Cricetulus griseus: one gene and its partner. The protein of the gene in region 1 interacts with the protein of each later gene in a biochemical or structural test. Links are inferred from orthologs where the notes say so. Each region holds a gene or a part of one and is shown on either strand. Other genes may lie near its edges.

What was found. The genes of interacting proteins can lie anywhere in the genome.
Region 2: the proteins of Myo5b (region 1) and Rab11fip2 form a complex in vitro, tested with the Homo sapiens proteins (2 studies listed by BioGRID). The link is inferred for Cricetulus griseus from reciprocal best matches to the Homo sapiens genes MYO5B and RAB11FIP2.

Annotation. Positions count from the first base shown.
Region 1 is NC_048595.1:165,303,410-165,312,137, reverse strand, and holds the start of Myo5b (unconventional myosin-Vb), read left to right. Parts: upstream 1-3,734; coding exon 3,735-3,744; intron 3,745-5,166; coding exon 5,167-5,300; intron 5,301-8,728. UniProt on the Homo sapiens protein: May be involved in vesicular trafficking via its association with the CART complex. The CART complex is necessary for efficient transferrin receptor recycling but not for EGFR degradation.
Region 2 is NC_048596.1:1,406,486-1,414,741, forward strand, and holds the end of Rab11fip2 (rab11 family-interacting protein 2), read left to right. Parts: intron 1-2,618; coding exon 2,619-2,867; 3' UTR 2,868-6,496; downstream 6,497-8,256. UniProt on the Homo sapiens protein: A Rab11 effector binding preferentially phosphatidylinositol 3,4,5-trisphosphate (PtdInsP3) and phosphatidic acid (PA) and acting in the regulation of the transport of vesicles from the endosomal recycling compartment (ERC) to the plasma membrane.

The DNA of each region.
Region 1 (8,728 bases):
CTATCATGGCCTCTGTCCTGATTTTCTTCAGTGGTAGAGTGCTATCTGAAAGTGTAAGATGGAATCAACCTTTTCCTTCCCAAATCGCTGTTGATCATGGTGTTTGATGACAGCAATAGAAAACTAAGATATGTCTCTGGTCAAATGTTTGTTGACTGTGTGTATGTTCCACTCTGTTAGGAGGTCCCTACCTATGGCCTGGGCTAAGTGACTCTGGCTAGTATTTAGTTACAGCACTGAACACATCCGAATCAGGTGACTGTTCTGCACTTGGCCCCCACACAGATATGCATCAGCAGGCAGAGAATGCTTTCAGTCACCAAGCTAAGCCATTTGCCCTTTTTGGCTCTTCTTAGGGAGCACAATCCAGACCGTTTTGCTTTAGACCAAGTCGTCATTGCACCTGAGTTGTCAGTGTGCCTGATATGTTACAGAGAAACTCCCTGGAGGCCTTACCTTTATGCCTTCACACTTGTTTTCATGTATGATACTGTTATACATGACACTTTATTCATATAAAATACCTACTCAGCAGGATTTGGACCCCTCCCCAAGAAGATCAGTATTTCTCTTGGTCGGTGGTCAGAGTGGAAGGTTTAGAGGCAGAGGCTGGGGTCTTTGCTCTGGGTCTGCAAAACCCCCTCACATTCAGCTCTCAGAAGCCTGGGCAGATTGTCTATTGTGTCTAAACCCCGGATTCTTCTGTTTATAACACCACTGTCCTTGACTTGGATTTGAGACCAAGCTGATATGATTAAAGGACTTCATGTGAGTTACCTTAGTGTAAGGTGATAGAGGTGGCACTAATAATGCCAGGAGGAGAATCCTTCAAGTGCCCGTGTTCTCTTACTGCACGTTTCTTCTTTGCTCTGAGGATCACTGAAGTAGTGATTGTAATTATGTGATTATTTCATCATTTGGAAAGTTAGTTTGAGGTTTTGTTTTGTTCTAATGTACTGCTCTGGATCTACCCCCTAGAGAGTTAATTATTCAAATGTGGGATGTGGCTGTTAGTGTCCTTGTGTTTTAAAGGTCTACAGATAGTTTTTATCTATCAGCCAGCACCAAGAATCACTTCTCTCAGTTTTTGGAGTGAAAGGGGCTAGATTCAGTTACTAAACATAAGGCAAGGTTTAGTAACTTAAGTACAGAGACCTGAGAACACTAAAATAATTGAAGCAATAGACTTATGTCCAAATTGGTGTTGGTATCTAGAATCCTACCAGGGTCCTGCTTTTCATACAACATGGTATACATAGCACCACTGCCATCATTCTCTGATACCCATTTAATTTTTGGTAACTGTTTGAGGTAGATAAAGTTTTCATCCTAATGTTCATCTGAGGAGGATGGCGTTCAGACATATGCAACAGCCCACTCAAGACAGTAAGTTTTGGCCACTGACCTGTCTTGTAGAGCCCAGAAACCTACCACAGTGCATATGTGGACAAATGGTGTGCTCTTGCAGACATCATGTTTGCATTTGCCCGAAACGTTTTAGTTGAGAATGCTGGCAAAAGGATGCCTCTATATCCATGAGGATCTCTGTACTCCCCAAAGAGGTTACTCAGGCAAACCACGCAGATTGCTGGTTCTCAAGGTGCTTGTGCATTGGATTCATCTGGGAAGCTTTCACACTGCCTGATTCCCACCCCCAAGGTTGATGGAGATAGTCTAGGGTATTGTCTGGCTTGGGAATTAATAAGCTCCTGAGTGACTGTAATGTGCAGCCAGAGCTCAGAGCACGGTTGTCATAGGCAGCCACTCTCCAGCTGCATGTTTCGATGCCACTGGAGACAGAGGCAGGGAGCAAAGGCCTTGAGAACAGCTCCGTGCTAATCTTTAACATTTGATGTAGTCATCCCTAGTTAATATATGGGCTCCTTCCCAGATTACCTCTTACTTGGTTATAATAATAATACTTCATTTGCTCTTCATAAAGGAGCTAAGCGTGGCTAAAATACAGTAGTGACAGATTCTGTAACTCTGTAATTAGGATACTGAGTGAACTTGTCCTCAGACAGTCTGCTGTCTTACATTCAGTGAAGCTGCTAGAGCTTAGATCTGAGAGAAACTCTCAAAGGTGTGAAAAATAAAAGGCTGGAAGTAACTCAATGGTAAAGCACTGTCTAACATATGCCAGGTACTAGGTTCAGTCCTCCAGGTCCTCCCACACACACTCAATTCAGAACTGTTTTAAGTGGATTTACTGCTTTTGTCCAGGACTGAAATTTGGTCCCCAGCACCTACATGATGGCTCACACACACCACTTGACTCTGGTTCCAGAGGATCCCATGTTCTCTCTGGTCCTGTGTAGGAATCTGCAGACATCTGATACACATAAACTCAGGCAAATACACATACACACACATAAAAGAAGACAAGTTTCTTGAAAATATGTATTGTTACAGTTTTCCTACAGGTTAGTAGTAAGAACGCATGACAAGAGAAGGTTTGCATACTCCATGGTTTTGGACCCTCTCTAGTACAACAATGTGGTGGACTTTAGGGGAGGGTTGCTGTTTGGTTTTTATAATTTTTTTAAATTACAATTATGTCATTTTCCCCTTCCCTTTTCTCCCTCTAACTCATCCCATGCCCCCACCCCAGCTCTCTCTCAAATTCATGGTCTCTTTAGTTATTGGACTATATATATGAATATATATGTGTGTATACACACACATATTCCTTAATACACAAATACAATCTGCTCCACCTATAATGTTACCTGTATGTATATAATCTCTGGGCTGACCACTTGGTATTAGATAAGCAGTTTGGGGCTCTTCTCTCGGGAAGACCACTTCTCTTTTCCTTTGGAAGATTGCATGGCTCTTTCTGGTACCATGAAAGGTAGTCCTCCAGGAGGTGGCTTTAAGTCAATCCTAGCTCCAGTCCTCTGGGTCTTGCATCTGAAGGGCATGATGTCTTCAGCAATAAGGACTTACTTTCCATCTCTGGGGGCAGGAAAGGGGAATCTCTTGGACAACCCTGACCAACAACTCAAAAGGGGAGTCTCATGCTTGGGAGTTTTTGTTAGTCTATGGCCCTTGGAGGAAGTGTTGTCAGTCCACATGAGAAGATTGCATTTCAATTGTATATGTGTATGTGTACACAGAATATATATATATATATGTATATATATATATACATATATATATAATCTCTCTGCCTAAATTATGATATATAATTTTAGGCAGGGAGATAACAGTATGCTTCTTTATAACTTTTTCATACATTATTACTGTATTTATCTTTCCATTTTGCCCCTTTCCCTCTTCAGGTCAACTGTACCCTGCTACTCCCCTCTGTTGCTCTCCTCCTGCACTTTCGTGGTTGCTGCACTTGCTCCAGGCTTTATACTCACATCGTTTTAACTGAGAGCAAATATTTCATGCATGCACTCTGTCTGGCTGTATAGCATTTGCGTCACTCCTGGAGATGTCTCCTTCAAATCCCTTTCCTCTCCACAGCCCCATCACACCTGGCTACCCTCCCCTTCTCAAGTCCCTTGCTAGTTACTGTGGCGTCTCTCCCTTTCCAGTCTGTGGGTCTGCTTTCTTATTGTTTATTTTGTGCTGGTGATACTTTGTGCATATTTCAGAGACCATGCCTTACCTTAAGTCATGTGGGCAAGTGAGGGTGGCAGTGTTTGCAAAGCTAGAATGCAAAGTTGGTGTATCATTAAATCACCCTTGAACGTGCTGTAAATTGCCCATTGTGTGTGCTAAGTATGATGTTGGGTGAGTGTCCCTGTTGAGTAATTTGTAGGAGCTTCAAGTGGAGAACCCATAGAGGATAAATGTAAGAGGCCAGAGGCACGGGGAAGCCAGCCTGTAGATGCAGCCACCCTGCATTCAGAACAGAGGAGAAATGTCACACAGGTTGTTATTGGAGGGAGACTGGGAAGATTTATGATAGCATGTGGCACGGACTGGCACAGGCTACTCGCCAAGTGTTTACTGGATTTTGGTCTGAGGTTTGTCCAGTAAGATCTGAATCTGCAATGCCTTCCTAAAGCCACATTAGAACGAAGCTGCCTGGTTCTTCTTTCTCAGCCAGATATATCTTCCCTGCCCTCCTTGTCTCTTCTGCATGGACTGAGTAGCCATTATCCACCCTGACCCCCAACACACACACACACACACTTAGGAGTTGTCCCATCACTCCTTCAACTATATTTTGATGAGTATCACCTGCCCTACTAGGTAGGTTCCTGAAGTTTGGGCAGTTGATTTCCATGTCTGTACTGGATTATGTGGTGCTCAGGGCAATATATTTTAGGTAAAACCAGGCTCCCCTATAAGATGCATTCCATTTTTAATCACTGAGCACACCTGCTAGATGTGCTGAATCCTAAGGATTCAAAGTAATGTGTCTAGAAGATCTTGCAATCATGAAATGAGACTCACTTGAAAGAAATGACTGTGAAGCCAGAAAGGAAGCTAATCAGACAGATTTACTATGGTCTCAAAGGCTAACTTTTTTGATGATAGTAGTCAATAAAAAGGTGATGATAGTCAGTGAAAAGGTGATCATAGTAGTCAGTGAAAATGTGTGGTTGAGGATGTTTACATCATGGTGGGCCACAGAGTCAGAAGACAGTGGCTGGATCAGAGCAAGGGATGAAGGCAGGTATAACCATCACAACCCCCCCCCACAAGTCCACTAGTGTCATGATTTCAGCTAGGCCAAACATCCTAAAGGGTCAGGGCCTCCTGGATTAGCAGGTCCAGGGTCCAAAATCATTTAGAGCATGAGGAGATATTTTGGATTTATACCATTAACAGTGGGTGCCTTTGACTTGTTGGCCACTTCCACTGAATGTAGACTGTGAAGTCTTGCTGTGCTTCCCTGTGTTTGACCAGTATTATTTTACTAATTATAACATGCTCCATCCTTCTGTTTTGTGTCTCCTTTTAAAAGGGTGGTAAGCCTGTGTTGAGCTGTCTCCTGAAAGAATTTTAATGTGACTATCACGTTTTCTTAAGACTGAGAGGGTGCTGTTGTAAACTAGTCCTATGAACTATTTATTATTTATAATATTGAATCATCTTGTGTCTTTAGTGGGACTCATGGTATATGGATGTTGCTGTAGAATATTTTCCTGACAACTCCTTTATAGATGCTGACACATGCTTTGGATGCTTTGCTTTGTGTCTAAGTCTCTTTTCTTCTCATCTTTCAGTACACAAGGGTCTGGATCCCTGACCCAGATGAAGTGTGGCGCTCAGCTGAATTAACCAAGGACTACAAAGAGGGGGATAAAAGCCTGCAGCTCAGACTGGAAGATGACACAGTAAGTGCTGGTCCTTAGGGTGGGCGCCCAAAATATATGGACTTAGATTTGCCTGCCCGTTGGTGTTTCTGAATTCCAAATTCTTCTGTCATTGTTAATGATAGTGTATGTGAAAAGTGACAAACCATGAGTCTGCCCACTCATGTTAGCAAGTGGAGTTTGACTGGTAGCTGAGACAAGAGTCTTTATGTTGGAGTGAAGAGAACAAGTCTGCTGTGTTGAGGCATCAGCAAGAGGGAACAATCCCTGGGAACAGAACAGGTGGTGGGAGCCTGGGCTCAGGGTACCTTTGGCCAACAGTGGGTAATGTTAATGCAGGATCTACGTGTGCCCAGTGCCCGAGACCCCAGTGTTGCATGTGCACAAGGGAAGGAAGGCAGACCAGTGATCCTGGGACCCAGGAGGCCTGAGGCTGAGGTGACAGACAGCCATTTTACAAAGGGTACACACAGGGAGCCTGGTTTTAAACAAAGTGGTGGGATGACATGAAGAACTGGCTTTAAGACAGACAGATGGCTAAATGGATGGGCTGCAGAGCAGGATAGAGTGAATGAAAGGTTTGTGTTGAAATCCAGGGCCTGGAATGTCTATATTGTGTCCTTTGCCTGTGAATTATTAACTGTCTTGGTGTTGTTCATTCTTCGAAGTATTTTGTTCTGTTTCCCACTCCAAATGCTTGGTTGAGCAACCTGTTGATTGAACATTCTCCAACCACCAACCCGTGCTGTATGAATTCGAGTGTGTCACTTTGAGTATGGCACTGGGGCAGGTGAATTCAGGTTGGTTAGCATGTCCTTCTCCCTCTAGCTGACAGGCTTTGCTAGTCATATCTTGGCTTTGAGGGAAGAAACAAAACTGTCAGCAGATGGAATCTTGTTTACCATTTTGAATAACTTCCCACCCTGCCCCTGAAACAAAATGAATTTAGTCCACCCGCTTGAATAGAGTGGATTCTACTCCAACAGATTTCATTTCAGTTGGTCTTTTCATGTGGGTGGGTGTTGTTAAAAGCTGTATGGAGGAAGCAAGGGCTGATCTGTCATGTTGCTAAAACAGCAGATACTTGTGTCCTTGACTGCACACAGCTTTGGCCCTGAACGACAAATCTTGGAAGCTGCCCATGGCCCATCTTTTCCTATCCGGCTATGAGACTGGTCACGGTGGAACTGGAAGAAAGCCCCGGGCTGGAGATCAGCATAGGCTCTGAGCATACAAGTCTCTCTCTCTATTGCCTGTGGCTTACGGCTGGCATAAAGCTGGCCCCAAAAGTGACTGGGCACTGTCCACTGGAGGTAGGGACACAGGCACTGCATGGCTGGAGGCTGAGTGCTTGAAGAGCAGTTCTTCTGAAGCTGAAGCCATCCTGTACTACCATCCTGACCTCCCAGCCCCCAAAGTAAAATGCTGTTGGTTTTAGTGCAGAAGCAAATGCAAAGAGGGTAGGCCAGATTTTTTGCTAGGAAATCCAACCCCAGGCTGATAGCAGGAATGCCTACTTCACTGCCAACAGCCGCCTCTGATGAGGTATTCAGGCCTCTCACCATTCATCTTAGATGCCCCTCCCACTTTTGTTCGGTTATTTCTTCTAGTAAACTGTAGAATATAAATGTAACCAGGCGGTCCATTTCTAAGTGAACAATTCAGTGCCATTTGCACTACTGCAAATGGTTACCATGCTCTTTTAACATATGGCAAAACTGCAACTACCCCCATCAAACACCTCTCGTATCTTTTTTTACAGCCTGCCACTGTGCCACTGTAACAAGCAGTCTGAGTCCTGCTGCCATGTGTGTGCTTTCTGCCAGGCCACCCAAGTTCCCCCCGCCGCCATATTAAGGTCCCAAGTAACACAGAGAGACTTATATTAGGTACAAATGCTGCTTGGCCAATGACTAGGATTTCTCATCTGCTAGCTCAGTCTTAATTTTCATAAATCTATATATTTTATAAGACTTATCTTATAGAGGACGCCATCCGCTGATGCCCTCACTTGCCGGCGGATCACATGGTGACTCCAGAGTAGAGACCAGGAGGAAGAGAGAAGGGAACGACTTCCTTCTTGCCCTTGCTTATATATATGCCACCTTCTGTCTTTGACTCTGGCTGCACTAGGTACTTCATACAAGTACCATCATGTGGTGTGGGTGCTTTTTCCTCTGTCTTAGGTCACTTTTCATAATCTAAGATGTTCTGTTTGGCAGACAGCCAGAAGATGGTGACTTCTCTGGAGAATAGTGTCATCTGTCTTTTCTTTCTCTCTAGAGTGAGGATAAGTATAACATGCTTGTGTGCTAATACTTGGCCTGGTTTTCTGCTTTTAGGTGGTGCTGGGCATTTGTCAGATGCCAGCCTTGGGTTGATGAGCGCAGCCTATCTATGCTTTGACCAGAACAGAGCTCAGTGCAGGTCCAATGCTGTTTCCTGTTCCCCGCCTCCCTTGCAAACTGCTCCACTCCTGCCCTCTACTGGCTGAAAATTCCCTGTTTCTGTGCTTTCACTTTGCTGAGTTCCAGCTAAGTCTGTGGGTGTGTCTAGCAGCCTTAGTGAGACTTCCTGTGTACATGTTTGTGAGTGGGAGGTTGCAATGGAGCTATGAGACTGGCGGAGAGTGACCTGCTCTCCCTGCACTGTGATTTGTCTAAGCTGAACCAAGTGGGCTGAGGTGGAAGGATGTTATATTGTTACCCAGCATGTGGTGAAAGGATGTTATACCATTACCCAGATGTTCAGTTACTGAGAGTGCTTTAAAAATCTACCTAGCACTTTTATTATTTTGAATATTTAAGTAACTATCCAAAGAATAGAGCTGTTTGCAGGCCTGGCGAACCTCCACCCCACTACCAATTCAAGGAAGTGGCATGTTTTCTTTAGGCACATTGTAGCCTCTCCTCTGTAGGAACACAACTGAAGATCAATGCGGGAAATCATTCTTCATATATTGTGTAATAGGGTTGCAAATACTTGGGGAAGCCCTCTGAAGTCATAATTAGCTGAGAATATTGGACTCTGGTAGCTGTGTTAAATCCAAGTTCCTGTTGTCAGTGGGTAAAAGAAATCCATTCTTAAGTATCCTTCCTTGCTCTCCCTGGACACCCACAAGCTGAGGAATCTGTGGCCTGGACCGCTGAGTTTGCAACTCCTACCTCTCCTGTGCTGTGCAAGGCATTTAATTCCTTATCAATTTTCTGTAACCAATACCTCTAGCTCATCTGTGGATATGTTTTTTTTGTTTTTTTCCCAAAATTTTGTATGTGATTGTCTCCTCCTGCCTGACAAGGTCTTCCAAGAGGTGAATCATTTGGAAATGATAGAAAACCCATGTTTCTGCCCTGGAATGTGAAGATATTGGCCTGAATTTAAAGCTTTTCAGTTTGAAAATCGAAGGGCAGGATGGGATGAACGCTCTGGGAGGGAGGTCTGGCACAGTC
Region 2 (8,256 bases), on another chromosome or scaffold:
CAAGATATTTCTGTTTATCGTTGATCATAGCAGAAGAGCTGAGAAGTGAGCCATTTCTGCTTAGAAGCCTTCAATAGTTTTTATTTCCCTTAGGAAAATGCTGCAGACCATCAAGGATGACATTGTCCATGCTCGATGGGGCGGTGGGTGTCACCAGATCCTCTGTCTCACCTGTTTTCTGGTTGCGTCTCTCTGGTCTGTGGCAGGCCACTGGACCTTGATCCCTGTTTACTCATTGTCCATGCTCGTCTCACCGTCCAATTCTGCATGGAGAGTGTGAAGCCTGTTGAAAGCTGTCACCACCCCAGTCCTGAGTCTCAGCCTAATGTGTGTATGTCCAGGAAGAAGGGGCACAATGGAGTGACTGGATGTTACTCCAGCTTCTGCCTAGGGGTTAGAAGGGGGAGCATATGGTGAAGAACTGGCCTTGGCGTTAATGGAAAAGTCCCAGACGCATCACAGTGAAAGAGGGAGGGTACTGAAGGTGGGAGAGACATGTAATTTCTGTGGGAACAAAAGTCTTTCCATATTCCCCAGGCCTCACCCATCCTCCACTGGACAGACTCTTGAGTCCTGCCTTCGGAACAGAAAACTAGTTTCCTTAGTATTTTAGTTATTTTCTTAAAGCAAATGGAAGTGTTTTGACTAACAGTGATACAGATCATCCCAAATTGTTGAGTTTATGAGCAGAACTGTGTTTTCAAGGCATCGAATCTGCTGTTTGTATCTCGACATTACATGGTGGAGATCTAAATTCCAGGGCATTGCTATCAAGGGAGTGTTACAGGGCCCATCTTCACCCTCACAAGTTGTTTTCTTTAGATTTTGGTGTCACAACACTGTTAGAATAAAAAAAGTTAAGGCAAGACACTCTTATGGTTGTATCTATGCTTTTGCTAGATTTTACTTTTGGACACTAGGATATCATTAGCTAAGTAAATGAGTGAGATGAGAGGGCACATAGCTGTCTTGACTGTATTCATATGGCTGTAGCTGAGCTCCAAGCTTCCTGACAACAGGGCGGAAAATAGAAACAGTATCCAACTGTTGTTTATGGGAACTGGAAGCATCTGTTACTTAGGGAGAGAATCTCACCGTGCTGGTCAGCTAAGACAGAAGTTATAACCGTGGATCATGGTCATTGGTTTAGTTCCAGGTGCCTCTGTCATTTTTCAATAAATTAGAGAAGCAGACTGGTATTTCTGTTTCTCATAGCTGTCATCAATAAAAACCCCAGGCAGAAGTGTGAATCTGAATTTAGTGGAGTGATTCTGTGAGCACAGTGTCTGTGTTACAGTGTCTGTATGTTTGGTGTCTATATGTACGGTGCCTATATGTGTGGTGCCTGTAGAGTGTCTATATGTGTGGTGTGTATGTTGATATGTATAGTGTCTGCATTTGGGGGATCCATATGTGTGGTGTCTATATGTGTGGTATTTGTATGTACAGTGTCTATATGTTTGGTGTCTATGTTTATATATACAGTGTCTTTATGTGGTGTCTGTATGTACAGTGTCTATATGTTTGGTGTCTATATGCACAGTGTCTATATGTTTGGTGTCTGTGTACATTGTATGTGTGATGTCTATGTGTATGGTGTCTATATGTACAATGTCTATGTGTACAGTGTCTATATGTACAGTTTCTATGTTGTCTATGTTTATATGTGCAGTGTCTATGTGTGGTGTCCATATGTTTGGTGTCTATATGCACAGTGTCTATATGTGTGGTATCTATGTACATTGTATATGTGATGTCTATATGTGTGGTGTCTATATGTACAGTGTCTAATGCACAGTGTGTATATGTGTGGTGTCTGTGTACATTGTATGTGTGATGTCTATATGTATGGTGTCTATATGTACAATGTCTATGTGTTTGGTGTCTATACACACAGTGTGTATATGTGTGGTGTCTGTGTACATTGTATGTGTGATGTCTATATGTATGGTGTCTATATGTACAATGTCTATGTGTACAGTGTCTATATGTACAGTTTCTATGTTGTCTATGTTTATATGTGCAGTGTCTATGTGTGGTGTCTATATGTACAGTGTCTATATGCACAGTGTGTATATGTGTGTGGTGTCTGTGTACTTTGTATATGTGATGTCTGTATGTATGGTGTCTATATGTACAATGTCTATGTGTACAGTGTCTATATGTGTGGTGTCTATTTGTGAAGTTTCTCTAGCTTCTTGACAGTACTTTGGCTAGATGTCTACTTTTAACCTGTTTTCATTACATTGGCTAACTATAGTTTGAAATTATAGAGCATATCCTATCCACTCCCTCTAGCATGCTGGAGATGGAACCTAGGGACCTCTGCATGCCAAGCAAGTGCTCTGCCACAGAGCCACACCCTCAACACTCATGTTGTAGTTAAGGCCACACTAGTATGGGCAGTCTCTGGGACTAAGAAGTTGTTCCCAGTATAAGAATGAATTTCAGGTGAGGCTTTTAACCTGTCTTCCTTCCTTCCTGCTTGGCACTAGCTGCACCTGGGAACTGGAACCCTGTTTCTAACTATGGCTGGAGAGAAACTTCATCAGCCTCAGAAAAACCAGAAGATGAAATTCTGACTCTTAATGTCTGTCACTGTGTCCTGCTTGCTAAAGCAGGTCTGTATTTCATTCCAGGACAACAATCCTTTTGATGCCACGGCTGGGTACCGGAGTCTGACCTATGAAGAGGTGCTACAGGAGCTGGTGAAGCACAAAGAACTTCTTCGGAGGAAAGACACCCACATCCGAGAGCTAGAGGACTACATTGACAACCTCCTTGTCAGGGTGATGGAGGAGACGCCCAGCATCCTGCGAGTGCCCTATGAGCCATCCAGGAAAGCTGGCAAGTTCACCAACAGCTAGTGGAGCCAACAGGACTGTGTTTATAGTTGAGAAGAGAGGGCTAGAGGGAATAAGAAAGAAGGAAGGGAGGAAGGGAGTGTGTTACTGGAAGAGCCCACACTGTCAGGTTTCACCTCCTCCCCTCCATCACTGGGAAATACGTTGGTCTTGTACATATTCGCAGGTATTGTCTAGAGTGACTTTGGAGTGAGTAAAGCACTCTACACTCTGACACTTGAAAACAGGCCATGCCTTGATGAATGAGCAGTTCTGTGGCATCACTTGGATGCTAGTTCTGGACCCCTGTCTGCCATAGGCCTGGAAATATCTTTAACAGCCCATGAGTTATTCCTCAGGAATAGATTCTGTGAAGCAGAGCTGATACTGTTGTTGGATTATTAGAAGTCAGTCTAGACGCACTTAACGTCAGGAACACTGCTCGTTATAAACACTACTAAAAAATAGCAAGTTCCTCATATATCTATGACTATGTATGTTCAAGTGTCTCTGTGTATATATACATGCATATACCTCATATACACGTGAGCTTTTAAGACATTTAAAAACAAGTGGTTGCCTCTAAGGTTAGGATTCGAATCTCATAGTCTAAAATTCGCTTTTGCAGTATCCACCATGACTGCTTGTCACTAGGACCACCCCATCTCAATGGAGAAGCTGCTTCAATCCTCTTCTGATTCTCTGAACCCTGAATTTGAAGGGATTCACTACATCCAACTCAGCCCCCCACCTCCCACCCCCACCCCGAAAGCCCTGTGCCCCAAAACGTGATGATCTCTTTTCAAGGAATGACAAAATTAGGGCTCTTTATTTTTCCCATTGAAGCATGGATTTCTTCAGCTGGTTTTCTCCTGCTATTTGAGTTTATGGGGAGTGTAGGCAGGAGATAGGCTAGTACAGTTGGTTGTACTTTGGATTATGAGCAAAGACAACAGCAAAGATACATCTGAAAATGAGCTGGCGTCTGAGGGGCTGGCTGGCTGTTGCCGGATAACCCAAGGCAACAGCAAGTTGTAGGAATGAAGGGCTTGGCTTCAGTTTCATCAGCAGTAGAACAGATGGTTGCCTGTGAGCCCCGATCCAGAGATTGACTGCAGCAGTGAGTGCTGAGAGCAGCCCGTCCCTTCACCAGCCTCACAGTCACAGCGTGGGGCACCCCACGTCCACCCTTGAGGGGTTGATATGTCACCAAAATATGGGGTCTTTGTTTGAGCCCGCCTCCCTAGAATGGTAGTTCCTGTGTGGATCTGCCTTATGTATTTGTAAAAAAATTATCCTAAAATTTAAAGTGAAAAGTTATGAGGTAAGAATATTGCTGATCTTCTCCTGGTATTTCAGCCTTTGAGATCTAAATGCTCTGAAGCAGACTGTCTTTCTGGATTGGAAATGAAAAGACTGCCTACAGAGACCAACTCGAGTGCATCCCCAGCCCTGTAGTGAATTGCATTTTCACTGAAAGTTAAATGAAAGCAAAGATGATAGTTTTGCTGATTTTCATATTTTTGGTCACAAAACCGCTTGTTATCTATATTTTCTAAGTTTCTGTGGTTTTTCTAGAAAACATGGGTTTTGAAGTGAGTTTTTCCCAAATGCAAACTTAGATACTTTTCTAAAATTCAAATAGAGAAGGAAAAATGGCTTTTTAAAATCAAATTTTCTTCCACTTGTAATTGAAGTGATTCTATAATAAACTTCAAAGACTAGTTATAGATTTGATTTTCCCATGTGAGATCTTGGTAAATATTACTTTTAAATGGTGCCATTTAAAATTAACATTTGTTAGATGTTACCAAATTCTTAAAATTCTTAGCATATTTTCACCATAGCATTGCTGAGACTCTTAAACTTTCTAAAGCACCCAGATCTGTGTTTTCAGTGTTGTGACAGATACCTGCAGGTGCAGTGACATGCATCAGCCAAATATGTCCTTTCTAGAGTGAACTCAAGCTGTCTGTTTTATCCTGGGAATAAGTTTTCCATAAATCTCATCTGAAAAGCGTGGTTCAAATGCTGCCGCCCCCTTTTATGAGAAGCAAGTTATAAGCCACAGTTGTTACCTCCACAAGAATCCATATCTATGGACTCATCTGCCCTTGGTGACTGGCTAGGCTGACAAGTATTTGCCTCTTCAGAATCTAAAATGAAGCTTTGTCCAGTGGCAGTCTTGTAGGCAGTGAGGTTTATCTGAGGCACAGTTATTATACCCAGATTATAAACAAAAGTCTAAGACAAATAAAAAGTATCCATTTACACTCTGTAAAATGTTGTGTTCACTCGTGAGCTTAATGTTTTTATCATAGTAAACATAACAAACTTAGATATAAAACAAGTGAATATAGCATGTGACTGTACCCACCAGGCACTATAGAAAGAAGGCCAACATGATTGGTTCATTTTCCAAATGTCACATGGAATATTCTAGTGGTTTATTTTTTGTATTAACTTAGAAGAGGAAGTAAAATGTATGTTTCAGTAAACAGTGCATGCATAATAGATTTTTAAAGGATGTTTTATTTCTACTTTTAGCCTAAAAATACATGCTTAAAACCACTTCTACTGACAAGATTTTTTTTTTTAAATCACAGAATCAACACTTCTCTCAAGCCTGATTTAAGCTAACACACTTCTGTTACATAATTAAACTACTTCTTAAAACAACAACAGTATTTTACAACCTGTCTCTTCCCAGTTCTAAACTCAGCTTGACAGTATTGCCACGTCACCCAGCTACTGGGACTTGTGTCATTCCTCGAGCACCAAGGTCATTGCTTAGACTTGTATATAAGATGCAGTGTAGCCCATTAATGGTAAGTGTTGGAAGCATTGCCTTTTGCTGCTGTGTTCTGCATCCACCCTAGTTTTGCCCTCCTCCCATGAATGTAGTATTATTCATAGATTATACATAAGTGCGTGTATTGCTTTTGGCAGTAAATCAAGATCTAGTTGTAATTTTCCAGCTGTGAAAATGTCACCTTGTATTTAAAAGGGTTTCACGAGTGGAAACCTAAGTAAATAAGCTCATTAGTGACAGACCTGCTCTTCCATGTCCCCGTTACCATCTCCCCACCCCCATGTGAGTGCTTATTCCTGAACAAGGAGAATCTTAAACAAAATGTAAAAAGGAAGACTTGCTATTGCTAAGTATCTTTTGTAACTGATAAACTAAAGCTTTGTTTTCCTGGATAGCTTTATCCCCCACCCACCACCCCAATAAAAGCAGCTTACCTTGGATTGGGAAAGCAGGCGAAAACTCTTTGCCTTCTGTGTACTCATCTTTCCTAAAGGTGCAGTGGATGTCACTCCTGTGTGTGTGTGTGTGTGTGTGTGATGTGAGCATGCCCAGTCATTTGATCTCTTTTCAGCAGAGGGAAGGACTGTGCTGCAAGCTGGTGGTGGTATACAGAGGGTCTGTCAGCATGCACCGAAAGCCCCCGTTTTCACAGATTTATAACTTTAATAATCCAGATGCTGTCCTTGGAAGTATTTAATATGCAATAGGTAGCACCTTCACTAATTAATCTGCATATGAAGGGCTTCCTGATATATTTAATAAGATGTGTAGAAGCTCTTCAAGCATTAAACTAAAGTTGACGTTTTATTTCATTTACTTTTCTCTGTCAAAAAAAAAAAATCAACCCTTACAATGGAATTGAAATCTGTCCCCTAATGGTACATTTGGACCTTTTTTAATTTATGGAACTTCTAGATTGTATGTACTGTGATGAATTTAAAAAAAATGCTGCAGATCTAGAAATGTATGTTCTTAGCAAGTGTTGGAATGATGTAAGCATTGTTTATAATTGAAAAGTATTACCCTTCCTTCTTAAGTAAATGCTTAGCAACTCATATACATTTTTGCAGGTACAAAAGTATATAAACATTGTATAATGTGACAGTTGTATAATTTATGTAATCTGATGCATGAGTCAGAATTTTTATATATGATAATTGATTTGTTATAGTTGATTAAAGTGTTTAAACTTAATCCAGTTATCAGAATTTCTATTGTAAAGCTGTTCCTATTACGCATTTCTATAGGCTTCTTCATTGTCTCTGGATAATGAGACAGGTTGTGTTGGGGCAAATGATCAATACAGCCTCCAGACCTGTCTTGTAGGGAATCTGGCTCTGAATGGTCATGTGGAAGTCAAGTACCTTTTAACTTAGTGTGTGTGTGTGTGTGTGTGTGTGTGTGTGTGTGTGTGTGTGTCTGTGTGTGTGCGAGCGTGTGTGTACGTGTGTGTATATGTATGTGTGTCTGAGTGTGTATGTATGTGTGTCTGTGTGTGTATGTACGTGTGTCTGTGTGTTTATGTACGTGTGTCTGTGTGTTTATGTACGTGTGTCTGTGTGTTTATGTACGTGTGTGTGTGTGTGTGTGTCTAGAGAGAGAGAGAAAGAGGGGCAGGGAGAATATTGTGTAGGTCCTTCCTGTGTCTCCTTAGGGGCGCATTGAGAATACAAACACTTGTACTACTGTAACCAGCTTTTATATGGAATCTGGGGATCGACCTTAGGCCGCCAGGCTCTTGTAGCAATCCCCTTATCCCTGAGCCATCTACTAGCCCCAGAAAAGTTTCTAAGAACTTAAGGAGTGAGCTTTCTTCAGCGCACGTGGAGAGACACACGCTCTGCTGTCTGGGGATTGCCCCATGTGTGCTGGCGTTTAGGCTGAGGCCCATGGCAACAGCTCTCTTCTTTTGTCACTTGATTTATTCTTCACAACCCAGGGAAAGAAGACACAGGGTTCTGGAGGAAGTTGTAGTCAAGGAAGAGTAAATTGGATTGGCAAACACATGGTTTTTCTAACTACTTATCTTCCACTTATGGCTGAGACCACACAGCCATCACAATGGCCGTCATAAATGCATACCTGTTCATCTGAGGTTCCATCCGAGAGAAACTGGCTCTTACATCTGCAAATGCACACACGTGTCTGAACATGTAGATTGCAGTGCAGCCAGCACTTGTGTGGCTGTAATCTAGAGTCTAGATTGTGAGATGTGGATCGTGTATATTCCTAGATGTCAGTCGGGTCTCTCTAGAGAGCAAGAGCTTTCTTTGCAAACTGGCTATCTTCTTACTCTCTGGTAGTCCCTGACATTCGCAGGGTCTTTAACCTGCCGCTCCTTTTCCATGGTGTGTTTTCCCTTGTCTGTTTCTCTACTAGCTAGCCCTAGCCTAGTCTCTCGGTCTGCAGAGACAAAGGCATTTGAGGGCAGTGTAGAAGCTGAAAGCCAGCCGCATGAAGTCATTTTTCAGGGTAGTTTTTTGTCCCAGTTCCTGTCAGACATGATACTTTCAGATGGGCTTATGATCCAAATGCCTCACATTTTATGCTTTCCTCAAATAAGCTTGCATAACAAATTTTTCACACTTTTATCTTTCTGTG